4 separate regions of the Mus musculus genome follow, and regions 1, 3 and 4 are each reported to be linked to region 2. The links are microRNA targets in miRTarBase. Many come from high-throughput screens and were not tested one by one. Region 2 holds a microRNA gene; each other region holds the end of a gene's coding sequence.
Evidence for each region. Region 2 holds the annotated microRNA mmu-miR-130b-3p (CAGUGCAAUGAUGAAAGGGCAU, at 4,865-4,886, shown strand). A microRNA usually pairs through its seed, bases 2 to 8, with sites in the 3' UTR of a target mRNA and lowers its output. Matches are read on the target gene's strand: a 7mer-m8 pairs with bases 2 to 8, a 7mer-A1 pairs with bases 2 to 7 and ends in A, and an 8mer does both.

Region 1: the mRNA of Chrna7 is a reported target of mmu-miR-130b-3p. The part of its 3' UTR that is shown has no 7-base or 8-base seed match.
Region 3: miRTarBase lists Map3k12 as a target of mmu-miR-130b-3p. Seed matches in the 3' UTR shown: 7mer-m8 at 940-946 and 7mer-A1 at 2,910-2,916.
Region 4: the mRNA of Kdm2a is a reported target of mmu-miR-130b-3p. Seed matches in the 3' UTR shown: 7mer-m8 at 5,812-5,818, 7mer-m8 at 5,219-5,225 and 7mer-m8 at 5,090-5,096.

What each region holds. Positions count from the first base shown.
Region 1 is chr7:63,093,013-63,100,127 of GRCm38, forward strand. It overlaps Chrna7 (cholinergic receptor, nicotinic, alpha polypeptide 7), which reads right to left. Exons shown (of 10, transcript NM_007390.3): 10 at 5,680-6,730. The coding sequence ends at 6,212. Among named protein-coding and RNA genes, the nearest start is that of Chrna7, 120 kb to the right of the region's middle.
Region 2 is chr16:17,121,836-17,128,956 of GRCm38, reverse strand. It overlaps Mir130b (microRNA 130b), which reads left to right and starts at 4,815; the gene lies at 4,815-4,896. 2610318N02Rik (RIKEN cDNA 2610318N02 gene) reads left to right here and starts at 3,755. Exons shown (of 7, transcript NM_001358255.1): 1 at 3,755-3,967. Mir301b (microRNA 301b) reads left to right here and starts at 4,461; the gene lies at 4,461-4,557.
Region 3 is chr15:102,493,528-102,500,646 of GRCm38, reverse strand. Map3k12 (mitogen-activated protein kinase kinase kinase 12) reads left to right here. Exons shown (of 16, transcript NM_001163643.1): 15 at 1-139; 16 at 471-3,000. The coding sequence ends at 566. It overlaps Pcbp2 (poly(rC) binding protein 2), which reads right to left. Exons shown (of 15, transcript NM_001103165.1): 15 at 588-2,158. The coding sequence ends at 2,122. Among named protein-coding and RNA genes, the nearest start is that of Map3k12, 20 kb to the left of the region's middle.
Region 4 is chr19:4,312,606-4,319,717 of GRCm38, forward strand. Kdm2a (lysine (K)-specific demethylase 2A) reads right to left here. Exons shown (of 21, transcript NM_001001984.2): 21 at 3,539-6,676. The coding sequence ends at 6,495. Among named protein-coding and RNA genes, the nearest start is that of Grk2, 9.9 kb to the left of the region's middle.

The sequences.
Region 1 (7,115 bases), not on the chromosome of region 2:
CAAAATCAGCCTCAAACTTCACAAACTTGGTCATACACATGAACACACACACCAAACTAAATTTAAGAAAGACATCTGATCTTAAATGACAAAGACACAGACAAGAAGTGGTGATGACCCAGGCTGAACTGTGGATTGTTTCTTATTCTTGTTACTCCCAAAGTAGACTATTCTGACAACGTGGGGATCAGCAGAGACTTACAGAGACTGAATTGCAGGTAACACCTCAAGAAGCCAGGACTTTGGGGCTCCTTTTCCAACCCACGAGGCAAGAATTATATCAGAAGGCCAAAAAGATGGGGTCTACAATGGCAGGGTCAGTTTGGAGAGAACTGGGAAGCATTCATATATGAAAGAACAAGGGAATGTAAGATTCTCGAGAAAGGATTACATCTTGAGACTTGTACGCCAAGGGTGCTATGGTGAAAGTGTCTGAGGGAGAGTTCTATGGTGAAGGTGTCTGAGGGTCTTTCTTTTAGCTGCTCTCGTGGTGGAATGAACATCCGGCATATCCTGTCTGACTGGTTTGCCTCAGCAGTTTCCAGCATTCAGCAGGAATTCATATCTTAGACCCTTGAGTAGGGATGGGGAAAATTGCAACTCCAGCCACTGTGTGGCTAGCACTGCCCTGTTGTGCTGATGGTTGTTATGTTGTTGTTCTTGTCAACTTGACCCAATCTACTGTCATCTGAGAGGAGAGAACTCAACTAGAAGAGTTCTTCCATCATCATATTGGCTTCTAGATAATTATGTGGGGCATTATCTTGATAAATGACTGATGTGGAATAACCCAATCCACTGCGGGTGGTGCCCCACCCCGGGAGAGTCTTTTTTTTTTTAATAAATAATTTTTTATTTATTCACTGTCCTCCTGTCAGTCACCTCCAACAAAGTTCTTCTCCCATCCCCCCTCTTTCTCCTCTCATGGTGGGGGGGGCACTCCTGGCTATCTCCCCACTCCTCCAATTTCAAGTCTCTGTGAGGCTCTTCCTTTCCCTCTGAGGCCAGACAAGGCAGCCGGCAAGTAGAACACATCCCTCGTACAGGTAACAGCTTTGGGATAGCCCCCCACTCCAGTTGTTGGGAACCCACATGAAGACCAAGCTGCACATCTGCTACATATGTGTAGGGAGGCCTAGGTCCCGCACATGTATGTTCTTTAGTTGGTGGTTCAGACTCTGAGAGCGCCAAGGGTGCACTCCTTTAATCCCAGTATTTGAGAGACAGAGGGCAGGCAGATATCAGTGTGTTTGAAGACAGCCTGGTCTACAAAGACCTGGCTGTTGCAGGAAAGCTAGAGCTATCATACATATAATAGACAGAGAAGCCTTTTGGAGGAAACAGGCTGAGCAAGACGTGATGGAAGCCATTAAGCAGCATTCCTCCATAGAGTCGCTCCAGAGCTCCCTTGAGTTTCTGAACCCATGTCCCTCACTGATGGACTCGGTGTGGGAGTGCAAAACAAATAAACTGTTTCCTCCCTATGTTGCTTTTCATCATGGTGTTTATCATAGCACAGAAAGCAAACGAAGACACCTGTCTTCTGCTGTAACTACCAAGTGTTAGGTCAGTCCAGGGGCAGATAGGACCCAGGAGCAGGTAGGCTTATATAGTGATATCTAATTATCTGTGTCCAAATATCTGTGTTTGTGTGTGTGTGTTCAAATCATTAAGCATAGATGAAAGAAAAATACACACAATTAAAAGTGAAAAAAAAAATCTCCACAAATACAAACCAAGTCAGAAATCCTAAAGTTTTTGTTGAAAACTATGGAACTCTATTCAAAAAAATGATATGATTAATTTTAAAATAAAATATGCAACTAAAAAACCAGCTATGGTGGTGCGTTCCTAGAGTCCAGCACAGAAAGGTGAAACAGGAGAATTTTAAGTTCCAGACCAGCCTGGGAATAGATCCTGTCTAGGAAACACACACACACACACACACACACACACACACACACACACACACACACACATTAAAATGGACACCAAAAGTTCTAATATGTTTGATGGGAGAAATCCAGCTCTTTCTTAGACAGCTCTTGCCAACTTAAGCAAAAATTAACTAAAATCAATTAGACTCATCCTTTAGTGTTCTTAGGACAGGAACTCCCATGCATATAAAAGTATGAGAATGTTTAAATCCTCCTATAAAGTGGTGTGGTATTTGGAAATAACCCCATATACCCTCTCATTTATATTATACCATCTGTGGTTTATTTATAGTGGAAATGATATGTGCTTGCTATATTGCACTAACAATGGAATAGCAACAAGAAGAAAAGCTGCATATGCTTAGTAAAGATGTGACTTTGGAATATTTTTCATCCAACTGATTGAATACAATGGTACACAAAACATGCTATGGACAGCCAAAATCATAAGGCAATGTAGACATCACCTCAGGAAAAATGATCTCCCCTTAAGTATTCTGTCAATAAAACCTTCTATTGGGGAAAATGGAAGTTTCTGGTCCTTTCTATGGATACTGGGAAGGCTTTGACAGAAAGATACCATCTCTATTTTTCCAGACAACAGTAATAGTTGAGAGGATACATGTATAATTTTTATTATGATGAAGAAAATACATGTCTTCATACAAGTAAAGTTGTGCATCATTAAAACATCCATCAACATTAAGAACAAGACAAGTATGCAAACAATCCAATTACTGTTCTCAAGTGCAATTCGATAGAAAATGAAATAAAGATATTGGGGAAAATGAGTTAAAGGGAAATCTTAGAAACAAAACAACCACGATTATGGTGACTAATTATTTGACATTAACATACAAAACCCAACCATTGTCCTATATATGGCTAAAAAAAGACAAGTGAAAACGGTAACCAACTAATAAGACAGCCAGAAATGAACAGCAAGAAATGTGTAGGGTCTGATCACCCTACTGACTGCTGTATTACTAGATTTGAGAACAAGCTGAAATTGTGGTGCTTTCAAACAGAAAGACCTGCTGTATGAATCCATTGTGACCCCAGTCCATGACACAGAGAATACGAGGGAGGGATCATAAAACATTATCCATTTGAAAATACTGATAATACCAAGAAAACTTTGGAAAATCAACAGCATTAAGACAGATTAATCAATGGAACAGAAAAGCACTTGGAGAAACATAGTTTACACCGAAGTGACAATCTGAACTTCGTGGAGTCTCACTGCATTGCAGAAATGCTTTATTATATGTTTGTGTACCACTCTTGGAGATAAACAACTAAATCTTTATCTATATTTACTATAATGAATTTTAAAGAATAAAAAGTTATAAAGGCAGATAAGTAGAAATGTTAAGATTTTGAAAGAAAATATAACTAATTTATTTGTAATTTCAACACAGGAAGGCCTCTTCAAACCTAGAGGGCAATCATGTTCTACAAAGGAAAACATAAATAAACTAACAACACAGAGTTTTAAACTTTCTAATATAAACATGCAATCAATGAACACCATAAAAAACAAATGACAAATAAGTTAAAAGAATAAAAAAACTGAAATTTGTATTAAAGATATAAATATTACAAAACTGAAATTACCAAAAAAATATATATGAAAACTTCATCCTTGCTCATGGTAAAATGAACTAAAATCAGAATGGTTTTGCCTCATCGTTTTTACCTGTCAGATCGGGAAGAGAAAATTAAATTTGAAAACATTTAACAGCATAAAGCCGAGAATCTGATCCTTTAACTTTGGATAGGGGCATCCACTGACCAGTTCGTGGAGGACCATCGCAATGCACGTATCTAAAGTCTCACATAGTCTTAGATCCAATAGTTCCATTTCTAAACTGGAATTTATACACAGAAACTTTGGCAAATTATGCACCAAAATGCTAACTATAGACTTGTGTATAAAAATAAAACTTGGAAATGTTGCAGCCAGCTATGTGTTCATCACTAAAAGGCTGATCCAATAGATTATAAGCCACCAATGGAGGGGAACTCTAAGCAAATATTAAGAGGAATGAGGTAGACCTTTAGACCATTATGGAAAGCTCTCTAGGACAAAAGACTAGGTGCCTAGCACCTTTCAAACATGACTTCTAGGAAAGCAACAACAAAGTCTCTCCATGTTCTCCTCCCTCTCTCTGTTCCCACCTTTCCTTTCTTTTCCTCTAAAACTGTCCCTAGGAGGAAACGGAAGCAAGGAGAGACTATTTTGAACCATATACACCTAACTATGAGCACAGCTATTCTTTATCATTACTTTTATAATGACACTAATTACTCAGTCAAAGCAATGGCTAGGGTTCAGTTTTTAACAGTAAGACACAAAGCCTGGTCTTTACATATCAAAACATATCTATTTGTTTCTAGTTACTTTAATCAAAAATCATAATACCAGCAAAATATTTGATATCATTTGTTGATAATGTATGCAACAGATGCATGCTGGGAATAACCCTGCTCCAGATGGTGGGTGTTAAAATCAACAGTCTCCAGATTTATCCATGTCACTCTATACTATCTCCTCTCTTCAGCCAAACACACACACACACACACACACACACACACACACACACACACACACAGTGCAAACATGCACATGCCCACATACACACAGGGTACCACCAAGCCTTCATCTTCCTATAGTGAAATTAATGGCTGGGAAAATGTGAATTTTTGTTTGGTTTGGTTTTGTTATTCTGAGAAACCTAACCTTCTCTCATGATTTCATTTCTGGAGTCAGAAGCTTAAAATTTCTGGGAGCTTCAGAAGTGTCATGTAGTTTTAATCCCCAAGAAGTTCAATAACACTATCAAACAGGAAAAGCTTTTCTCGGGGAAAAATACTCTCAGCTCATTAACAAATAAAGATGTGAAGTGCAAACAGACTGGTATGAGCTATACAGCCAGAGGGACCCTAGCTCAGAAGAAGGAAAAAAACATACAAACAACATCACCCCTACCCCATCTCCAGTGAATCCATGCACTGACCCCAAGTGAGCTTTGTATCTGAAGCCACAGGAAGGCAGATCCTCAGAAACCAAATCCTGAGACAACCAGCTTTGTATCTAGATGAGTGATCAGCGACATCATCTTTCCATAGCTCCTGTCACACAGGAGCCCAGAGGGGACTAAACTGCTTCCTTAAAGGGTATTTCCACTTGGTGTGCAGCAGTACAGATGCAAAAACTTCTAAGACTTGTGGAGTCTGACATGCAGAGCAACTAACATGCTTCTATTTTCAACACACATAAACACACAAACTCACTCACTCTCTCTCTCTCTCTCTCTCTCTCTCTCTCTCTCTCTCTCTCTCTCTCTCACACACACACACACACACACACACACACACACACACACACAAAGTTGAGATAAGCTTCAGCTACTCCTTAGTTAACACTCAGAACTCTATTTGCCTTTCAGGTTTTGTACAAACAAATTCATTTAACTCCTCAGGACAAGGAAGCAGCATGAAGCTTGGAGGTCATCTAACATCTAAAGGGTCCAAAGCCTCAAAACCCTTTTGGCTAGGGTGAGTCTCAGTTTTGAACTGACACAACCTGTGTGATAATTTAATTGTTAGGACACATCTACAGGGATTAGCCTGCAAAACATCATTTAGAAGACCAACTTTCTCCCTGGTGTAAAGTTGACATTGGTAAAGACAAAGATGGATGGATGGATGGATGGATGGATGGATAGATAGATAGATAGACAGATAGATAGATAGATATAGTTAGATGTAAGTTAAATCACAGAGAATGTAAGTAGCAGAGGGGTTTGTAGTTTGTATTTGAATTTGACTTCCTTTTGCAAGGCAGCTGTTGAAATGGATCCAGTGGGAAGTGCTCTGGATTGGTTTCAGCCTGGGTCTGTGCATGGCAAAGGCAGACAGCCTATCGGGTGAGCCCATGACAAGGGGCATGCAGGCATGCGCCACAAACTGGACAGGCCTCTCTACTGGCCTACTAGAGCCACTAAGATCTACCCTGTAGGGCTATCCAGAGTGGGCAAATGACCACATGGTGCCCCTGCCGAGTACAATGATATGCCGGTGATGGGTGTAAGAAAAGTAAACAGAAGCTGCTGGGATCTTTTTAGTTAAAGTAACCAGGAAAATAAATCTCAAGACCGACAGCTACAGGGATACCTCAGAGTTCTTCCATTTATCACAATGTAGAGTTAGGACCCCAATTCTCGTCCTCCAGATTCTCTTCTTATCTGTGCATCTCCTACATGATAACATTAAGCAAAGTCTTTGGACACAGCCTCCACAAAGTTTGGGGCTGACATGAGGATGCCGATGGTGCAGATGATGGTAAAAACCGAAAAGGCCATGAGGCACAAGCGGTCCACCACACAGGCCGCAAACTTCCACTCACTGCAGATCACCTCACTCTCATCCTGGCAGCGGAAGCGGTTGGCGATGTAGCGGACCTCCTCCAGGATCTTGGCCAGGTCGGGGTCCCCATCAGAGGGGTGTGTACCATGCATGAGGTGCTCATCATGTGTTGGGGAGCAGGCCAAACGACCACACACGACCCCAGAGTCTGGAGTTGGGGCACAGTGCATGCCCTCCAGGCCTCGGAAGCCAATGTAGAGCAGGTTGCCATTGCTGGTGGGTGGCCCCGCACCTGCGCTCAGCTCCACACTGGCCAGGCTGCAGCGCCGAGGCTTGTGCTGACAAGCCGGCCGCACCTTGTCCTCTCCCGGCCTCTTCATGCGCAGAAACCATGCACACCAATTCAGAAGAATGATCCTGGTCTGCAACGACAAGAGGATATCGTGAGCACCTCAGAGTTGTCTATCAGCTGAGCCCCCACAGCAGTGTGACCCCCACAGTGGAAGACCTGCTTTACAGACTGTAGGGAGAACAGGATCCCCTCTCTTCTCAGTGATTTTATAGAGCAAATCAGCAAGGAAACCTGTCAAGAATGGAGCCAAATATGAAATGTGAGCTAAGAATATGACCTATGTAGGTTTATCACTGGGGGAACAAGCTGAAGTTCCCTCGGGGTAGACATACTGCACCCTCGGTGAGAGAAAAAGGCACCTGGTTAGGTAAGGATGTCTGAGATGTGTACACAGAGAACACCATCTCTTTCCCATACCTTCCTTTTTTTTTTTTTTTTCTTTTTTACTTCTAGAA
Region 2 (7,121 bases):
GGATCTCTGGATATGGCAATCACTAGATGGTCCATCCTTTCGTCACACTTCCAAATTTTGTCTCTGTAACTCCTTCCATGGGTGTTTTGTTTCCTATTCTAAGAAGGGGCAAAGTGTCCACACTTTAGTCTTCGTTCTCTTGAGTTTAATGTGTTTAGCAAATTGTATCTTATATCTTGGGTATCCTAAGTTTCTGGGCTAATATCCACTTATCAGTGAGTACATATTGTGAGAGTTCCTTTGTGATTGGGTTACCTCACTCAGGATGATGCCCTCCAGGTCCATCCATTTGCCTAGGAATTTCATAAATTCATTCTTTTTAATAGCTGAGTAGTATTCCATTGTGTAAATGTACCACATTTTCTGTATCCATTCCTCTGTTGAGGGGCATCTGGGTTCTTTCCAGCTTCTGGCTATTATAAATAAGGCTGCTATGAATATAGTGGAGCATGTGTCCTTCTTACCTGTTGGGACATCTTCTGGATATATACCCAGGAGAGGTATTGCTGGATCCTCCGGTAGTACTATGTCCAATTTTCTGAGGAACCGCCAGACTGATTTCCAGAGTGGTTGTAGAAGCTTGCAATCCCACCAACAATGGAGGAACATTCCTCTTTCTCCACATCCTCGCCAGCATCTGCTGTCACCTGAATTTTTCATCTTAGCCATTCTGACTGGTGTGAGGTGGAATCTCAGGGTTGTTTTGATTTGCATTTCCCTGATGATTAAGGATGTTGAACATTTTTTCAGACACCTGTAATTTTAAAAGAGAAGGGCCTGGCGTTGTGGCGCACGCCTTTAAGCCCAGCACTGGGGAGGCAGAGGCAGGTAGATTTCTGAGTTCGAGGCCAGCCTGGTCTACAAAGTGAGTTCCAGGACAGCCAGGGCTACACAGAGAAACCCTGTCTCGAAAAAACAAAACAAAACAACAACAACAACAACAACAACAAAAAGAGTGAGAAGGGACATCGCAAGGGAAGACAATTTCCCCACTCCAAACAAACAACAACAAAACCCATCCAATCTGGGTGGTTAAGGTTGTATAATTTAAAAGCAAGAGCTGGGGGACTAATTGAGTTGTGGAACAGTTGGTACTTGGTATGTTTTTTTTTTTTGTTGTTGTTGTTTTTTGTTTTTTCGAGACAGGGTTTCTCTGTGTAGCCCTGGCTGTCCTACTCACTTTGTAGACCAGGCTGGCCTCGAACTCAGAAATCTGCCTGCCTCTGCCTCCCAAGTGCTGGGCTTAAAGGCGTGTGCCACCATGCCCGGCTGGTACTTGGTATGTTTGAGGCTATAGGTAGAACATTTTCTAGCATGTACAAGGCATAGGGCCCATTTACAACACTAACATTAGATAAAATAATGCACATAAGAAAACACACACACACACACACACACACACACACACACACACTAGCAAAAGGTCCCTCACCAGCAAGCTGGCAGCTCACTAGTGGTGTGTGCATGGCCTCTAGAGGTGGGGGAAGGAATGACAGATTTCCTGGGCTTGACTGAGTAGGTCATAAGGACTTCAGGGGAACTAGTAGGATGATTTCCTGAGGGCCAGGAAAAATCCTAAGAGGCTGAGATGACAGTTGGCTGGGAGGGACTTGGGATAGTGTGGGAAGAACTGATAACATGGATTTGAGAAATCAGTTGACTTTACTAATGTGTGGATGAGAGAAAAGCTGTAGTCAATTTGAATCCTGAGGGGAGGGAGTTATGTCTTGGACCATTACTCCCCTGTCTGTAAGAGACTTGGTCTTTCCACTGACAAACTTTTATTTTGAGACAGGTTTTACCATGCGACCCTGGCTAATCTGAAACTCGCTATGTAGCCTGGTCTCCTTGAATTCATAGAGATCCACCTGCCTTTGTCTCCCAGGTACTAGGATTAAAGATGTGTACTAATGTGCCTTGATCTATTGCCAAACTTTTAAATGCCATTTTAAAGTGTGTGTGTGTGTGTGTGTGTGTGTGTGTGTGTGTGTGTGTGTGAATATGAACATGAGTTAGGTGTCCTCAGAGGTCAGAAGAGGGTGTTGGATTTCCTGGAGCTGGGACTGCAGGTGGCTGTAAGCCATCTAGTATGGCTGGGGAACTCATTTAAGTCCAATTTTAACAGTTCTGCAAGAGTAGTACTCGATTTTGACAGCCATGCCATCAATCTCTCCAGCCCCCAAACTCATGGAGCAGAAAAGTTGCTTCCATGCAGAATGCAAAACATTACAAATGAAAAGCACAGGAGCAGCAGCAAAACACTTTAATTTTACATTTGATTTTTATTTTTATGTGTATGGGTGTTTTGACTGCCCATATGTCTATGCATGCAATGGCTTTAGAGACCAGAAGACGATACTGGACTGGAGTTACAGATGCCTTTGAGACAACTTGTGGATCCTGGGCATGGAACCTGAGTCCTCTGGAAGAGCAGCCAACCCTCTTAACCACTGAGCCTTCTTTCTGGTGAGCCCCCTCTCTTTAAAGACAGTATTTCATGTAGTTCAGGCTGGTCTTGAACTTCTGGCTCTTTTCTCCACTTCCCAAATGTTGGAATTTCTGGATGTTTTATTTTGTATCTGTGTGGAGCGATGCAGTGTGGTGGCTGTATCCCCAGTACTGCAAAAACCTAGGAGGATTACCATAAGCACAAGGCTAGCCTGGTCTACTCTGTGAGTTCTCAACTAGCCAGCCGTGATATACGATGTCTCAAAAAACCAGCATTCTTTTTTTTCCCAAAGAAGACAAAACAATGTAGGGACTGAGATATTATGGGTCAGTGTTAATAGCATTGGTTGCTCTACCAGAGCATATGGGTTTCATTTCCAGCATGCATGTGTTTGCTTACAATCCTCTATAGTTTCAGTTGCAGAGGATAGAAAGCCTTTTGACCTCCCTGAACACTAGGCATGTACATGGTGGTACAGACAGGCAAACAAAGCACCCATACACAAAAAATTACATTTAAAATTAAGTGGACAAAATGAGTTCTTGAAGATCGAAAACCAGCTCTGTCTGCTTTAAAAATATTTTCTTTCAGCCTTTGAGCTGGGGGGTAAAGATTCCCTGTCTCATATGGATATAACTAGGGGTAAAGCTCAGACGCCAGCTGCAAAACTCTGTTTTTCCCTTCGCTGACAGAACTGAGTAGAACACCTCAGGTTCTGGGTGCTAGGTGCTGTGTATCTTTGGACATATTAGCTCAGAAAGGTCACTTAATGAACTCTTACCCATAAAGTGGTTCACATTCTCAATGACATCAATGACATCAGAGCATTTCTTCACTTACAAAAAGTGCCAGGGCCTCCTCAGCCCAGCCAGAGGTTTCCTGATGACGATGCTCTGAAGTTGGACAGAAAGAGGGAAGGCCACGGTTTTTAAGTAAATGTCCCATCCTGGAGGAGCAATGAACAAATTTCTCGCGAAATACGAAGCATCCCCTAGGGGTTCATTCAACCGCTGGCTTGGCCAAAGGACACTTTGCCGGGATCTCAGAGCCCTCGCTAATTTGGTGAGCTGTGTAGTAAGCATGGACGCGCCCTCATGAGTATCACTATAATAACTACAGAGAAATGAGCTGGGAAAAGGCGGACAGAGCTCCTTTTCAAGAGTTATGAATGAGGAGAAAGTGTTTGTAGAACTCATTGTTAAAACGGTGGAGCCAAAACTCGGGCGCCTGGCCAATCGGAGCCTGGAGGCTATTTTGAAATCTTTCCAGCAGCAGCCAATAGGTGCGCAGGAGGCAAAGCTTGGTGTAGGCGCAAGCCAATGAGGCTGGCGCTGTGCCTTGAGGCCCGGGGCTCGGCCCTCGGGACTGTCAGATGGTTAAAGATGGAGCCGAGGGAGAGAGGGCGCCACGAGGTGCTGAGGTGCGGGGTTGTCCAGATATGACGGGGCCGCCGCCTACCTGGATCTTCCACTAAGCTTCACCTTGTCCCCCTGGTGAGAACAAGAGGTGTCTGTCCACGTGAGTAACTGGTCTGGGATAGGGTGTGCGGTGAGGCCAGGGAAACTCCAGATGCCAGGAAGCCCTAGTTCTGCTCTTCTAGGCAGGAGAATCTGTTAGGATAGAGTGCAGAACTCATACTGGGGGAATGGACCAAGGACCGGATCTCGGACTCCAAGGGCCTCACGTGCAAGGAGTGAAGTATCCCTCTTATTCTAGTTCTGGTCTGAAACAGGGTACAAGTAGTCCCACTGTGCTCCCCTCTGCAACTGAGCGCAGGCCTCTCTCCTTTGTGTTTGAGCCCCCTCGGGTGCTCGCCCTTCAGCTCCCTCCTTGGAGTACCTCACCAGAATCAGAAGCCTGTTAGAGAAAGTTTGAGTTCCCTGAAGTTAATAAGTCCAGAGGACTGCATCCGGGCTGGAATCCCGTCTGTTCTCCGAGCTTGGATAGATGTCCCACCCACCCATGGTGGTTGAATTTCCAGCGCAGCCCTGCGTGCAGCGAGGGCGATGGATTTCCTGCTGGCTGCGGGTGCTCTGACTAGGTTGCACTACTGTGCTGTGAGAAGCAGTGCAATGGTATTGTCAAAGCATCTGGGACCAGCCTCGAAGACCACCTCACCTACTGTTCCTTCTTTCTTCCCTTTCCAGGCCTGGCCCCTCAGGCCTGCAGGCCGTACCCTCCCCCTGCTCATTTTACTCTCTTCTCCATGGAAACTTGAGATTGTAGCCAGGCCCGTGTCTCTGGGGTCAGAGGGCATCCTTTGCTCAGGCCGAGGCTCCGCCCAGGTGGGCATGCGTTCTAGGTCTAAGATCCCACTCCAGCCACCCCAACTCCCCATGCCCCGCCCCACCCCGTGAGACTGACAGGCTTGTTGGACACTCTTTCCCTGTTGCACTACTGTGGGCCTCTGGGAAGCAGTGCAATGATGAAAGGGCATCTGTCGGGCCAGCTAAGGAGCCTGAGGAACAAAAGGGTCAGTGCTTGGATCATAGTCTTAGATAGAGATAGCTATCTCTAGCTAAAAGGATAAGGTGGATGCTGAGAACCATATTCCAAGGCTGGAACCAGTACAAAGGGGAGACCCCAGATTTGGAAAGGCTCCAGTCTCAAGCTCTTAGCCCCCTCCCCCCAGGTTAAGATAGGGGAGTCTGCTGCAGGGGGCGCGGCGGTGAGTGAATGGTAGGTAGCTCATGCCTTAAATCTCAGCACTTGGAAGGCAAAGGCAGGTGGATCACCCAGATCTAGGGCATCCTGGTCTACATAGTGAGTTTTAGGACAGCCAGGGATACACAGAGAAACCGTGTTTTGAGAAAAACCAAATTAACTAATTAATTAATTAATCAATTAAAAAAGAAAGAAAGATTGGTGAGCCCATGTCTGGAGGCTGATGCAGGAAGATTGTCTCAGTTTTGAAGCTGTCTGAAGAATCAAAACAAAACTAGGAACTCCAGGACCTTGTGGAGAGAAACAGATGTTCACCTCTTTGTATGGAAAAGGTTTGTATACCTTGCTTAGCCTTGACTGCCTCGGGAAGAACTGGACTCAGCCTTTCCTGAGATAACCACACCTTGGGTTCACACCTTGAGGCTCAGAAGAAGTGTCCTGCCTGGGCCAGATGGATGGACTTGGAACAAGAAGCCTGCAGAGTAGGCCTGCCAGCCATGTCTGCTTGCTCCTTTACAAAGAGGGTATGTGCTGAGTAGGAGAGGCATGGAGGTGTCTGGTATGTCTGCTTTCCAGACAGGGCTGGAGCTCATTTTTATTTATTTATTTATTTATTTATTTATTTAATTTATATGAGTGCACTGTAGCTGTCTTCAGACACACCAGAAGAGGCCATCGGATCCCATTACAGATGGTTGTGAGCCACCATGTGGTTGCTGGGATTTGAACTCAGGACCCCTGGAAGAACAGTGCTCTTAACCACTGAGCCATCTCTCCAGCCCTGGAGCTGAATTTTTAAGGATGCCCGATCCTTAGTGTGCTTGCAGAGTTACCTTTAGCGGCAAGACCCAATGGCCCATGCCTTTGAATGCAGCACAGGGAAGGCATGGGTAGGTAGATCTCTGTGAGTTCAAGGACAACCTGGTCTACCCTGCACGTTCCAGAAGAGCTATATTTACATGGTAAAGCCCTGTTTCAATGCACCCACCCCTCTTTTACAAACAAACAAAAACCTAGTAGGAGGTGGTCAGGCCTGCCTCCTTGAGAGGAGGCCCAGGCTTCCAGATTCCCTTTTGGGAATAGATTGAGAAAATCAGCCTTAATAGTACTCTAGCTCCACAAGTCCTGGCACCCATGGGGACTGCTCTGATACATAATGAGTCTCAGGCCTGACGGAGGGCTTTGATGGGGAAGAAGCAACCACACTCCTTTGTGGCTAGGGTAGACGTGTGTCAGCAGCTGTTGCCACAGCAGATCCATCCTGAGGTGCTAGGAATCCTAACATGTGCATATCTTACATATCTTACATGTGCATATCTTACATATCTTACATGTACATATCAGGGGAGGTCTGGGCCGCAAAGGATTTAGGTTGGCTAAGTCACTTCTGTGAATTTGAATTGGCTCAGGGTGTAGAACACTTGCCTATTATGCACAAGGTCCTGGGTTTAATCCCTAGCACTCCAGAGGGGAGGGGAGGGAGAGGAAGGTAGCGGAGGTAGGTGTGAGGAGAGGCCACAGGAGGACATCAAGACATAGAGCAAGTAAGTGGTCATGGGTGCAGGCATGCAGTCTCTAATCCCATTGTTTGGGAGGCAGAGTTCCAGCCTGGTCTACAGTGGATTCCAATATAGCTAGAATTACATAGGAGACCTTGTCTCAAAAAACAAGCAAAAGAAGTGGTCAGGACATGATCTGGAGAGGGATGTGTGTAATGCTTCCGAGTAGGTAGGAAACTCAGAGGGTGCAAAAGCCAGAGCTAAAGCCCTTTGGGGGGCAGAAGGAAGTCCTTTTGGATATTATCTTAGTGAACTGGAAAGTAGATTCAATTACCAGGGCGGTCTGGTAGGGCAGAGTATGGAGGGAACTGCAAACTGGGAGAGGGCTGGGTGCTTTGAAACGGAAAGGACCACGGCTCAGAAGGAGGTCAAAATCCAGGAGCTCAAAATCCAGAAGGTACCTGGGTGCCTTTGGCGGTCACAGTGAGGGGTGGAGCAGTGGGGGCGGG
Region 3 (7,119 bases), not on the chromosome of region 2:
CAACACTGATGAGCGACCAGATGAACGATCTGATGACATGTGCTCACAGGGCTCAGAAATTCCACTGGACCTACCTACTTCAGAGGTGGTCCCTGAACGTGAAGCCAGCTCCTTGCCCATGCAACACCAGGATGGCCAGGTAAGTTTGAGTTGCAACCACCAGACACTGAAAAGTGAACTGGGATCAGAAACCCAGTCATTTGAGAATCTAAAAATCATTATTCCATAACCATTAAAACAAATATCCATGTAAGTAGTAGTTGAGAATTAATGGTTCCGAGCATATAGTGCCTGATGTTTAATTTGTGTGGCAGCTTTGATGACAGTAGTCATCAAGGTATCCTAAAAGGAATCTAGCATAGTGCCTTGGACCTATGAACAGATTTAAAAAAAAAAAAAAAACTCCACTGTTAATGTAAAAGAAGGGTCCCCAAGGCTCCCCCACCTCACTGCATTTCTACTCTTCACAGGGCCCCAATCCTGAAGACTCAGACTGTGACAGCACTGAATTGGACAACTCCAACAGCATTGATGCCTTGCGGCCCCCAGCCTCCCTTCCTCCATGAAAGACACTCTTATTCCTTGTACATAGAGAAATATTTATATAAATAATATATATGCGCCACATAATCAACAGATAGATGGGGCTTTCTTAGCCTTAAGCCAGGCTTGAGAGTGAACGACGCCCCTGACCAATTACCGAATAAGTTCTGGGGACACTGGCAGCTGTGGAAATGAATGACTCCGAGTACTACCCTAGAGCTATAAAGAAAGGAAGCTGGCCCCTTCTTGCTTCACCCCATTCCTTATGTTGAACAAGCAAGTAGGCAATAGAAAAGCCAGGCTTGTCTCTATACTGTCTATCCCTGAACACTGGAGGGGCAGGTAGAGGATTCACTTAAAACTGCACTTTTATTTTCCGTTTACTGTTTACACATTTTGCACTTGGGAGGAGGGAAAGAAACTAAGGCTGGGTCATCCCTCTGAGGTTTCTCAGGTGGCAATGTAACTCATTTCTTTGTTCCTGTTTCTCTGCCCAAACCCTGGCTTTGGGCCAGACGACTAACAGCATGTGATGGCTCAGGCTGAAGAACTGGGGTGCTGTTAGTCCCCACTGTTATCTTGGTGCCTGGTAGGGGTGGGGACTGTCATATTGTAACCCCTGTGAACAACCTTGAAATATAACCACTCCATGCAGGCCCAACTGTCGAGGGTTTTCTTGGTGAATGAGTAGAGTGGTATAATACATGGTTTCAACTTGGATTTAAGATTTTATCTGAGGAATTTGGACAAGTTATTTTCTAAGTTAACATAAATGATAGCAGGTAAACTTTTCTAAATGATTTCAGAACAAGGAGGTCTCAAAACACCTATGGAGAAAACTAAATGAACAATTACTAGAACTTTAAAGTATGCAAGGTAGAACAAGGGGCAGCCATTCCCAAGTTTACTATCCTTACTATCCACGAGTTCCTGCCCAGCTCCATAAATGCACCAGCTGCTCTACAATCCTAGGGTAAGTGTAATTGTCAATCTCCGTAAACAAGTTTTCAGAGGCTACCCAGTATCATGGAGGGGGAGGTGATTGAGGGCAAATTAAAAAAATTGGAGTGGTAAAAAAGGGAAGAAAGTCCATTAATTCTATTGAAACTGAATCAGGGCTCTCTGGAAGTTAAAAGGTATAAAAATAACATCAGACAGGAACAACACCCACGTAAGTCACTGTGGCATCCAGTTTCTATTCACAAAGAAAAAGCTCCAGTCCATCTTTTAATTTTTTTTTTTGAAAAATTCCTGACATTACAGAACTAAACTGAAATGTATTAATAATCCACTCTTACATTTCCATGACAAACAAAAATTCATGAGCCAAACAAAAACAAAAACCAAAAAACAAAAGGGGGAGAAGCTTATAAAACTAAATATGGATATCTCAGCGTAACTGCTGAACAGAGAAAGGAATTAAAACACTTTAATTAAAAAATCATGAGTGGATGATAAAGTGTGTAGAAACTGAAAATTTACAAACTATTTTAAAACCTGGAGTCGCTGACTGTTCAGAAACTACACAGATGGATCATGGGTGGTGAACAGCAGGATTATGGATGGGTCTGCTCTGTTCTAGCTGCTCCCCATGCCACCTGTCTCCGAGGAAAGCCTGTAAAACACAAAGAAGAATAAGTCAGCTTACCTAGCTACAATTCATCACACCAAGGTATTTCAAGGTTTCTTAGATTAGCTAGTACCATAGTGCACAAGGTTGTTTATGTAACACCACTACAACCAAGGTTCCTGAGGTGTTCTCAGAAGAACATAACAAATGATGTTAAGTTGGTGACACTGTCTCTTCACGTTTTACTCTTTGCAAACTGAAAGCATTTCTAGAGAACATTAGGCTTCAAGGAGTTGATCCTGTCGTGTTTACACTAGAACAGCCCACCAATGTGAAGGAACTTTGTGTTGGGAGCCTAACATTTAAAGATATTATGTAATTTTAACAATACTTAAAGGGAGGAGCAAGAATAGGAACTATAGTGAAAAATTGAATTATTGTTTTCAAGCTTATAATTTTAGGACAAATACCAACAAAAAAACAAGTATCAAAGCTTCAATTCAGTTCCTTAGCTCACTCTTCAAAATCCAAAACCTGTGGCCTTACTGGTACCAAATTCTCCTTGTAAACATACCTGGCTACAGTGCCTTTCTACTTGTTTCAAATAGGTCATTTGAGGTCCTGGAATACAATTAAGCTTTGAGAGAAAGGCATTCAGTGTACATTTCATTATCACTGGGTAGCAGCAAAATGCCTCATTCTGAACACAACTAGAGGTGTCTCAGGTCCACACCACAAGCTTAACTTCACAAAGAGCCAACTGACATCCATTTGTGATGTTTGGCTTAATACCATGTGCACTAAATGTACAAATACCACAGGGGAAGGGGTATATCCCGGAAACTAGAAGTCATTCTTCAATTAAAATATGTTTTCTTTAACGTCAGAAATTATTTGTCCTGTCTATGTTACTACCGTAATGTGCCTAAACTTTAAATATACATGTGAGATCTCAAACTATGCAGAGTGAAGCCTCTCATAGGTAAAATGCAGCATAGAGGGGAATCTTTAGTTTTTTCAAAAGGAAGGAAGAGATGTTCAAGCAATGAGGACCTGCCCACAATATAAAAATGCCAGAAGTGGCAATGTCCACCTGGAATACCAATGCAGGGGAAGTGGAGAGGAGGGCACATAATCTAGCCAAATCAGTGAGCTCCAAGCTCAGTAAAAAATCTCAAAAAAGGGCTGGTGAGATGGCTCAGTGGGTAAGAGCACCCGACTGCTCTTCCGAAGGTCCAGAGTTCAAATCCCAGCAACCACATGGTGGCTCACAACCATCCGTAACAAGATCTGACTCTCTCTTCTGGAGTGTCTGAAGACAGCTACAGTGTACTTACATATAATAATAAATAAATCTTTAAAAAAAAAATCTCAAAAAATTAAAGATGACTGAGGAAAATAACAAAATCAGTTTTTGAATTCCACAAACCCATACATGTTCACATGCACATATATCAGGTCTACATAGGCTGTGGAAATGGCTCAGATACAGGTTTTGTCATCTGAGCACATAGACACCTGACTTTAACAAACCCAGTGTAGTGTTAAAACAGATACAGTAGATAGTGCATAGCATCTGTAGTAACAGCACATCAACCACAAATCAAGAGGCAGAGAGAGGAGAATTCCTAGAAACTGGAAAGTCAGCTTTTTTTTTAGTGATCAAAAGGACTATCTGAAACCAAGTGGAAGACAATGACAACCTCCACTTGTACACTATGGTACACACCTAGGCCCACACATGGACCCATGAACAACAAAACACGAACGCAGCAGAATCTTGCCTATCTCAAAATAGGATGACCCAATGACAAGGTAAATAAGCTTTAGGGACTCAAGATATTGCTCAGTGGTTAAGGACACTTGTTGCTCTTGTAGGGAATCAGATTTTATTTCTAGAACCGACATGGTGGCTCACAAATATCTGTGATTCCAATTCTATGGGATCCAACATTTTCAGGTCTCCAAAGGCCCTACATGTATTATTCAGCAAACTGAATAAGAAGAGACCAGTGGGAAAGAAAGTTTCAATGTAAATGGTTTGTTTTAATCTAGTATTTCAAAAAACAACCATATAGGGCAGTAGTACAGTGGCCATATAAACAGCTCAAGAACTATCCAGTACTCATAATAAAGCTTTATCAGGAATTTAAAGAGCAAGATGAACTAAATGAGTTACAGAGGGAAATCTCAACCAGAAATGCAATGACTTTTGACATCAGACTCATATAGGAGCATCAAGCTCTTAAATATTTTCACACCAAAAACCTTTGTTAAAAAGTATGGTATCAGCCAGGTGTGGTGGCGCACGCCTTTAGTCCCAGCACTTGGGAGGCAGAGGCAGGCGAATTTCTGAGTTTGAGGCCAGCCTGGTCTACAGTGAGTTCCAGGACAGCCAGGACCACACAGAGAAACCCTGTCTCGAGAAACCAAAAAAAAAAAAAAAAAAAAAAAATGGTATCAAGCCCCTTGAACATCTGTATTATTTCCCGGCAAATCTTTATTTGGAGATATTTATTGGATTAAGGCTAAGAGGCCTTCCAACAGACAAAGTTAAAACTCAAATCTCAATGAAGATGGTTATCAGCATAGTAAGTTTTAACTACAGAAAGAGTTGACCTACACAACATAGGAGGCAGCTAACATCAACCCATAAACCTGCAATTTGCTCTTCTAAAAATCCTTAACCCAGGCTGGGTGGGGGTTAGTGCATGTACAGCTAGGACCGCACACACACACACACACACACACACACACACGAAAAAAATCCTGACCCAGACTTAGGATATGTGAACAAATGTGTTGTAAAGCTAGGAGGGAAGAAAGGAGCCACAATAACACCAGAAACTGAAGATTAATAACAAGCATGAACAACTATTGTCTTCATGATGATGTTCAACAATGTTACCTTAAGGGATGTTTGGAAAAGACCATCAAGGGGAAAAAAAAAAAAATCTAGAAACCTTCACTGCCTACCTACCAGTAAAGAAAACTCACAATATGTACCTTGGATTATCAATAATCATTGCCTCCTTTTAATTTTTAAATGCTAGAAAACAAACCCAGGGCCCAGCAAATATCCTGCCACTGCCTAAGCCTCAGTCACAAAACCCTTAGTGTTCCATTTTTTTTTTCCTTGTGGAAAAACATCTGTGGCTTATCTTAGTTTTTAAAAGTGGCCAAGGAGCCAGGCGTGGTGGCGCATGCCTTTAATCCCAGCACTGGGGAGGCAGAGGCAGGGGGATTTCGAGTTCGAGGCCAGCCTGCAGCCTGGTCTACAAAGTGAGTTCCAGGACAGCCAGGGCTACACAGAGAAACCCTGTCTCGGGAAAAAATAAGTAAAAACAACCAAACAAACAAACAAAAAAATTGGTCAAGGTGTACCTAGGCAGTAAACTATGGGATCAAGCCCACACCAGAAAAAAGGAGAAAGCACACACCGTGAGCTAAGTGCAGCACTGTGGAAAAGCACAGCACAAAAATTAGTCCTGACAAATCATTCATAAAGTTTATATTTTCTTAGGACCTCTTTTCTATCTCCCATTAGAGAATTCATTCAAATATAAGCATATTATCTCCCACTCATGGTACTGTTGCTAGTGAGAAAGACAGGTAGGAAATAGAAGGTAAATGAACTTGACTGAGCAATATTTAGAATGACCAACAATCAATCTATATAAGCCCTCTCTAGTATCCCAGAAGCATATCTAATGATCCATTAAAGGAATATAGGCAAAAGCTGCTCAACTCTTGACACTGAACACTGCCTATCTTATGGCTAAAGAAGTCAGTCCTGTATATGCCTTTGAAATGACTATTCACCAGAGAAAAGAGCTCAGACAAGACACATCATTATAACTATTGGTGTGTTGGCAAAGTAAGTGTGTTCTTGACTTAAAAGCTTCTGGTCAGTCATGAAGGATCATCAGTATTTAAACTACTGAAGACCCTTCTACTTGAAAATATTGACAAAGGATTACAAAATTCATGGAAGATACAAAAGGGCTGAACAGCCATCCAATCTGACAAGGCACAAATCACAAATCCCCACCCTTCACCCGTCACATCACACAGTGAGCTACTGTTCTTACTGTGGCAACTTTATTATAACTAGAACACAGATTCAGCCAAGAAGTCCAGCTGACAGCTTTAACCATTAAATGATTTAAAGTTAAAAAAAAAAGAAAGGACTAAAGGAGAAGCTTTTATTCATCAACACAGAGCCTAACACATTTTTTATATTGCAAGGCAGAATAAAGCTACAAAAAAGTATAACAGAATTAAAGAGTAAGAACTGTGGCTCTAGATAGAGATTTCAATCAACAAGTCAGACTCTGAACAGGCACTGAGCTGTGAAGACCTAACCCTAAACAAGTATTACCCCTGTTTCCATTCCCACCCAGTTATCCCCCAAAGTAGTAAAAAGAAAATGATCACAAGCTCACAATAGTTTGGTTCTCACCAATGTTAACAAAGAAAAACAAAATAAACAAACACTTGAGGAAATGCCAAGATAAGCACTCAGTAGGGAGAGAATCTCTGCTTCTCGCCTTTCAGTTTGTTAGTTACACATGGCACAGTAGAGGTGGTGGTGGTGGTAGCTGAAGCCCCGGTACCCTTAGCAGCAGACACAACATTTAGAGCCAGGAGAGGGATGGGTTTCATGCCAAGCAGACTGGAGACACAAGGGGCGGTCGGAAGAGGGTTGGGGAGGCTGGAGGGTGCGTCGGAAGTCCCCGCTGTGGCGAGCGAGGGGGTGGTGGTGGAAGAGGAAGAAGAAGAAGAAGGGGTGGAGGGTTGAGAGAGGTTGATGCTGAGGTGATCAGGGATCGTGACGGAGGCTGCCTGGGAGGAGGGTTTAGCGTTTTCTAAACTGTAACAGAGGAAAAAAGGAACAAAAAAAAAGGGTGGGTGGAAGGGAAGACCACAATAGGGAAAAAGTACAGGACAAAATCCGCTTCAGTTATATCAGTAAGTGCCTTTGGCTGCCAATTAGGAAGATCTAA
Region 4 (7,112 bases), not on the chromosome of region 2:
AACAGTGCTGTCAAAGTGTAAGCTCAATAAACCCTTCCTCCCCAACTTGCTTTTGGTCATGGTGTTTTCTTCACAGCAACAGAAACCATAACTAGGAAACCTTGCCAAACAAACAAACAAACAACCAACCTTGTTTTTGAGATAGAGTTTTACCATATACCCTTGGCTGGTCTGGAACTTGCTATAGAGATCAAAGTGGTTTTGAACTTCCATTGATCCTCCTTCCTTAGCCTCTCAAGTCTGAGTTCCAGACACAAGTCATCATACTCTGTTTTGTTGTTATTGCTACTGTGTGTGTGCATGTTGTGCATGTGTGTGGCTACGTGTGCCATAACACATGTGTGAAGGTGAGCAGACAACTTTGAGGTTTGTTCTCTCATTCTACATTTACACTGGTTCCAGGACCTAACTTAGCTCTCCAGTCTGGAGGGTCCTATTTATTAGGGACAAAGTCAATATATATTCAGGCTGGTCTCAAACTCACCATCTTCTTGTTTCAGCTACTCAAGCACTGGGATTACAAGTTTCTGGCACCAGAATGAAGGTTGCAGGTTCTTACTTCCTTTCCAGATTCTCATGACCCTGTTCTGAGGAGCAGCACTTTTCCAGGGACCTTTAAGGTCGTGTAGTCCAGCCCTGTCCCAGCCCCAGCCGCAACCTGCTTTTCAGAGTTTTTGCAGAGGTTAAGATTCCAGCTTCAGTCTTCTGGACCTCAGCTACACCCACCCTCCCAGATGCAACGCGCATGTGTTCCTGTACCCTAAGTCAACCGCTTGTGAATTACAGCTTGTGATGTCTGGTAGTCCTCACGTTGGTACTGAAGTGTTGTATGACTGAATCTGAGAGCTACTTCTATTAATCCCGTCCAGTGCCTTGGGCAGGTTTCTTATCCTCTCTGGGCCAGCATTGGCGAACAAAGATGATGTGCAAAGCTCTGGAGTAGGGTAGAATCTTAGTCTGCTGACTCTACCATTCGCTGGAGTCTTCTGTCTCATTTGCTCTCCAGGCATCCTCTCAAGCCCTTTGTCTCATTTCTCTTCTGCCCTCTACCTGTTACCTTTCCTTTTCTGGTTTCTCAGGTGCACTACTGTCTTCCAGCACCTCCTGGCTTATAGCAGCTGCGCTCAGCCTCTAGAGAGGGATGGACAGGACAGGGAAAGTTAGGGGACTGGATCAGGCTTAGTGCTCTCTGGCTTTCAGCTTCCGTCCTAAGCTTGGACCGGACCTGTGGAAATACATAGGGAAAAGGAAGAACTGTGCATCCAGAGTGTGAAGCAGCCAATGTTCAAGCACATTTAGCAAAGTCGGCCTGGGGGAATAGGCACCCCCTCCCCAAAATACTTCTTTTGAAGGGCCCTATGCAAATAAAATAGAAAGATGGTTTCATTGGTTAACTTGCTATATAATCATGGGGTCCTAGTTCAGATTCCTGTACCTAGTAAGCCAGAGTCTTGTAAAGAGACTTTCTAAATACCTATAACTCCAGCTCCAAGGAATTTGATGTCTTCTCTGGATCCAAACCACACAGGCACATACACCTCCTTCCAGCTACACACACACACACACACACACACACACACACAGAAGGCTTTGAGCTAGACAGATGGCTCAGTTGTTAAGAGCACATATTGCTCTTATAGAGGACTAGATTTGATTCCCAGCATTCAAGTCCAATGGTCCATAAACTCCCATAACCCCAGTTCCAGGAGATCGAATGAATGCTTTCTTCTGGCCTGAGGGCACTGCCCTTGTGCACAAACCATACTCATCCACATACATAATACACATAACTAAAAAACAGAAATCAGGGGCTGGTGATATGGCTCAGCAGTTAAGAGCACTGGTTACTCTTCCTGAAGACCTGGTTTTAATTTCTAGTATGCATGTAGTGGCTTACATTTGTAACTCCAGTTCCAGGGGTCTGATTCCTCTTTGGCCTCTATGGACACCAAACATCCACATGGTACACAGACATATACACAGACAATGTATATACAACAAATTAGCCGGTTATAATGGTTCACACTCTTAATTCCAGCACTTGGCAAAGTAGAGGAAGGTGGATCTCTGAGTTTGAGGACAGCCTGGTCTATATGAAGGTTCTAGAATAGCCAAGGCTACATAAAGAGAACTCTCCAAATAAAAAAATAAAACCTTAAGTAAATTTAAAATTTGTATTTCTCGTTAAAGATAGGGTTTCTGTGAAGCTCTAGCTGTCCTTGAATCACTCTGTAGACCAGGTGGGCCTTGAACTCAAGAGATTAAAGGCATGCAAGCACCACTCCTAGCCCCCTGCATTATGAGTTTTAAGTATGAAACAGCACCTGGGTCGGTCAGTCATTAAAATATTCTTGCTCCTGATTTGGACTGAAGCCATGGTTCTCAACCTTACAAATGTTGCGCCCCTTTAATACAGTCCTCATGTTGTGGTGGTGCCTAACCTTAAATCTGTTTTTTTTGTTGCTACTTGAAAATAGTGACTTTAGTATTGTTATGAGTCATAATGTAAATATTCTTTTAGTGGTCTTAGGCAACCCCAAAGGGACTACAACCCCCGGTTAAGAAGCTCTGGACTAGAGGCTGTGCTGATTGAGGTCCTAAACAGGGGTGGCAAGGATGAGAACAGAGGCAAAGCTGACAATCCCCTCTTCTCTGCTAACACCCAAATAGCTCATCTTCAGGAAACGTAACCAGTGTTCCATCGGTTTCTAGAGCAGAGAGCAGGGCGTCAGCTTAGGGCAACAGGATGAGTAAGAATCCACTCCTCCTGAGATAGTGAGGATTTCTGGCAGCAGGCAGTACTTCTCTGGTCACATGGTTAACCTAGAGTTGGGACAAATGCCAGCCACAGGCCATCTGGAGGCTTCAGCATGGGAGGTTGGTCTTGGTTATTGGGGCCAAGAGGTCAGAGATGCCCAGGCTGTTCCCAGGAACTGCTCTAAGTCTGTTTACTTTTGGGGAGGTCCTTTAGCCTTACCACATAAAATACTTACACATCCATTAAAGTTTGCTTTGGGGATAGGGGTTGGAGGACTGTATAGATGGCTCACTGGTTAAGAGCACTGGCTCTTCCGAAGGTCCTCAGTTCAATTCCCAGCAACCACGTGGTGGCTCACAGCCATCTGCAATGGGATCAATGCCCTCTTTCTGGCATGCAAATATGACAGAGCACTTGTATACATAAAAAAGTGTCCAAAAACTACCCTCTGACCTTTACAAGCATGGAACTCCACATGGTTACAAAAACAAGAGACTCCTCCAAGCTGCCCTGTAACCTCCACAGGTCAGAAGTATGCCATGGTATATGTACACGCCTGCAATCACATGTAAAGTACTTTTAAAATTTAACTTCATCGAGCAAGTGTTGCTTTTTGACATTAAGAAAGCTAGTAAGTATACAGGCTTGTACCACAGATGTTTCTGTCCAGAGTGGTGGGGCAGGCACTTCCTAGTTTTAGCAAGACATCAGCATGTCTATATGACCTTCTGACATCCTCTTAGATAGACATACACATACACCAAAAATGAAAGGGGTTAGTTTTTGTTTTTAAAGTCTTTTTATTTAAAAACAAAAACAAAAAAGAAAACCAAATCAAAATATTTCCCATTGGAGGCTATTTCTTTTTTTGTCTTTTAAAAATTTTATTACACAAATATCTCCCATTCCCAAGTGTCAGAAGAAAGACATCTTTGCTCTTTCTAAAACCAAGTGGGAAACTTTTAGAAAACAAAGTCCAACTAGCTTTCTTCCTTCCCTGACCCAAAATAATGCCAATGTGTCAGCTGGTGGCCTAAGACTCATTCCCTTAATGCTTACATTTAATTTAAAAATCTTAGCACAACATTGGAGATCGACTCTAAATAAGCAACAAAAAATATATATTTACAATATTTCCCACCCACCCCCAAAAAACCAAACCCTTTAAACATAGTGACTTTAGGAGTTTTATTTATTGAGCAGTTATTTTTTTAATCACCAAGTGATTTTATATTATATATATATAATTATATATATATAATTTTCTTCCTTTCCTTTGTGTTTTTTTGCCCCAGTATGTGGAAAGATGAAGGCAGAGGTCAGGTCCTGCAGTCTGAGGCCAGGCTCTGGCAAGACTGCAGCTAAGAGTAGATGCAGGACTATGAACTCGCATGTTCTACGTCCTCGGAGACACTTCTCTCTTTTTGCAAGGACCAACTCTCACCTCTAAAAACCATTCTCCCTCATAGTCCTAAAGAAAAGACCCAGCAAGGGCGTCAGTCCATCTGCCACCACCCTGAGCTCCCTTTTCCACTGACAAATTTCTGTGCGGTAAAATGCTTGCTTTTTCTAAATTCAAATGCAAAGACCAAAACCCAGACAAGCCATCAGCTTAGAAATTTCTGTGGATGAACTGTCCCAAAGGGCAGAGGCACTCTCCCGGCACAATCCCTGCTCTGAAAGGGTCTCTCCACCTCCCCTTTCATAAAAAGACAACAAACAAAACTTAGTAATTTTAGTATTTTCCACAGGAGCAACCAAAAAGAAAAAAAGTCAGGAAGCTTCTAATTATAGGTCATTAATAGTATTAATAAGGTTTTTGCTCAACACCCAGGGTTCTTTACAGAAGTTCCCCCAACTGAGGCACTCTGGAATAAGTCACTGGCGTTTCCTCAACATTTCAGGCCCAGGATTCTGGGACCTGAAGACCAATGGAATGGCAGAGGGTCAAGGGAGCAGACTGCTGTTTTTAAGGTGCAGCCAAGAGAAATCAGCAGATTGGAAGAAACAATGCCATCCCTTGCCAGAAACCCAGTTTTCCTGGAAAAAGTCTGGTTATTGCCAGGGTCAAAGCTGGGCTGAGTGGCAGAGGGGACACTTCTGCCTCTATTGCTTTGGCAGTGGCAAGGGTACAGTTAGCATCTCTCCTTGGGCGGTTCACACTTCAGACTCATGGTGCCCGGGCTCTGTCCCCTCTTGATGGAGTTTAGGAAAGTCTGAGGCTAGATTCCAGGAAATGGGGTGGGAAGTGGGAAGGGATATGTTTGGGGCTAAGAGAAGGCGGGGCAAGGCTGTGCTATCAATTATCAATCTCCTATAGATGGGGAGCAGAGTGCAAATTTGCATGTATCACTGACAAACTCTGGCCACAGGCCTCTGCTGAGCATCTCCTCATACTCTAAATATTGACCCAGAACAGTTCCGACCATTTTCTTTCTTTCATTTTTTTTTTTTTTCTAAAGTGCAAAAAGCTCTCTGCTGCCCTAGAGAGAGGATCTTTGGACAGGCCGTTCAATGCAAAGTCAAAGGGGGCAGCTTGATGGGGCTTGAAGAAGGGCGATGAGGAGTGGGAGCCATCATGCTCCCCTCCTTCCCTGCACATATGTGCAGCACACTTAGCCAGACACACAGAGGCACATGCACACACACTTCCAAGGCTGCAGGCAGAGGGTAGGTTTTCAATCAGGACTCCCCTTAAAAGGCACCAGGTCAGTGAGCTGCTAGGTTATACACAGGCCTGGGCTCAGAGGGCCATGCTAAACCAGAGCCCAGAAAAGCCTGGCTTAGAGAGGCAGGTGGGGATTCAACCAGTCTTCTGTTTCCCCCACCTGGAGAAACATGCTGCTCCTTCTGAGGACACAAATTCTAGAAAAGCCCTGCTCAGGCAGAAAGAGGACAAATGGAAAAGGGCAGTTGGTGGGCAGCAATGGGTGGGGAGTATTAATGATGCCTGTCTTAGAATATGCCTGGGTAGCAATGATATGGGCATTTCGGGGGGGGGGGGGAGGGGCAGAGTTCCAGCTCCTCTGAAGAGCTTTTGATAACCCCAAGTAAGTGCAACAAAGGACAAGTGGGTGACTAGTGGAAAAGTTTAGGGGGTGATGGCAGAATGGGGACTGTATTATGAGTGTTGGACAGCATCAAGCTCAGGGACAAGAAAAAAGGGCTATGACAGACATGGAGCAAAGCTTCAGACAACTCACAGCACCATTGAGACCTGCCAGGCCTGGTGTTTCTAGGGCTGTTGGCTCCTCCTGCAGAAGCCGGGAGAGTTTAACGGAGGAGAGACACGCAACGGACACCATGAGGAGAATCTGGCCATGGAGGCAAGGCTGCCTTCCTCCCTAGAGTATGCTCAGAACCAGGCACTGCTAGGGACTATGGGTGAGAAGGTAGGGTTCTTGGCCCAGTGCAGGTGAAAGATGCACAAATTCCCCCAAACTGAGAGCCCAGCTTCCTAGCTGGCAGACGAGCAAGCAAGCAGGAACTGGGATAGCACAGCCTGTGCTTTCTCCTTGATCAACCTCTCCTTTCTTTTCCGTGGGAGGGAGAGGAGCAGGCAATAACCTTGGTGTCCACCAACCTCTCTGCCCCACCTGTGGGAGAAGGGCTCAGAGAAAAGAGAGCAGAGAGGGAATGTGTCGTTGGCCTCAGAGCCTGCGCAGGGTCAGGGAGAGACTCTCCTTGGTGGGAAGGCAGGGGAAGATTTTCCTGTTCAGTCTGGGCTGAGCATGTCTTAGCTAATCTTCTGTATCAGTTTCTCATCAGACAGGCAGTAGAGGCTGTTGATGGACAAGTCTGAGATGAAGTGCTCACAGGCTTTTCTCGTGATCTGTTTGCATCCTCGAAGGTCAATCAAGGTGACATTAGCAATTCGCCTTAGGAAGAACAGGGTCTGGTCTGTCAATTTATTGCAACCTGTAGGCAACATGGCCAAGAGAAAAAAAGATTACAAACATAGCCACAGAGGCCCATTTCTGCCACTCTGTTATCCCAGTATCTTTCTCCAATGCTCTGTCACCATGCAGAGATACTGGGGTTGCCATCAGTATTGTGGCCTCTTGCTGCCTGCCTCTAAGGACCATGGGCAAGTGAGCAGCACAAGAGCCATCTGGCTGACAAAACTACAGCTGGACAGCAGCCAAACATGCCGGCACCTGAGTTTACTACCCACCTCAGAGATCTTTGGTTTAAAAAGAAATAGAAAAGTCTCTTACGGCTGGAGAGACCCCAGCAACCACACGGTGGCTCACAACCACCCGTAACAAGATCTGATTCCCTCTTCTGGAGTCTCTGAAGACAGCTACAGTGTACTTACATGTAATAAATCAATCTTTAAAAAAAAAAGTCTCTT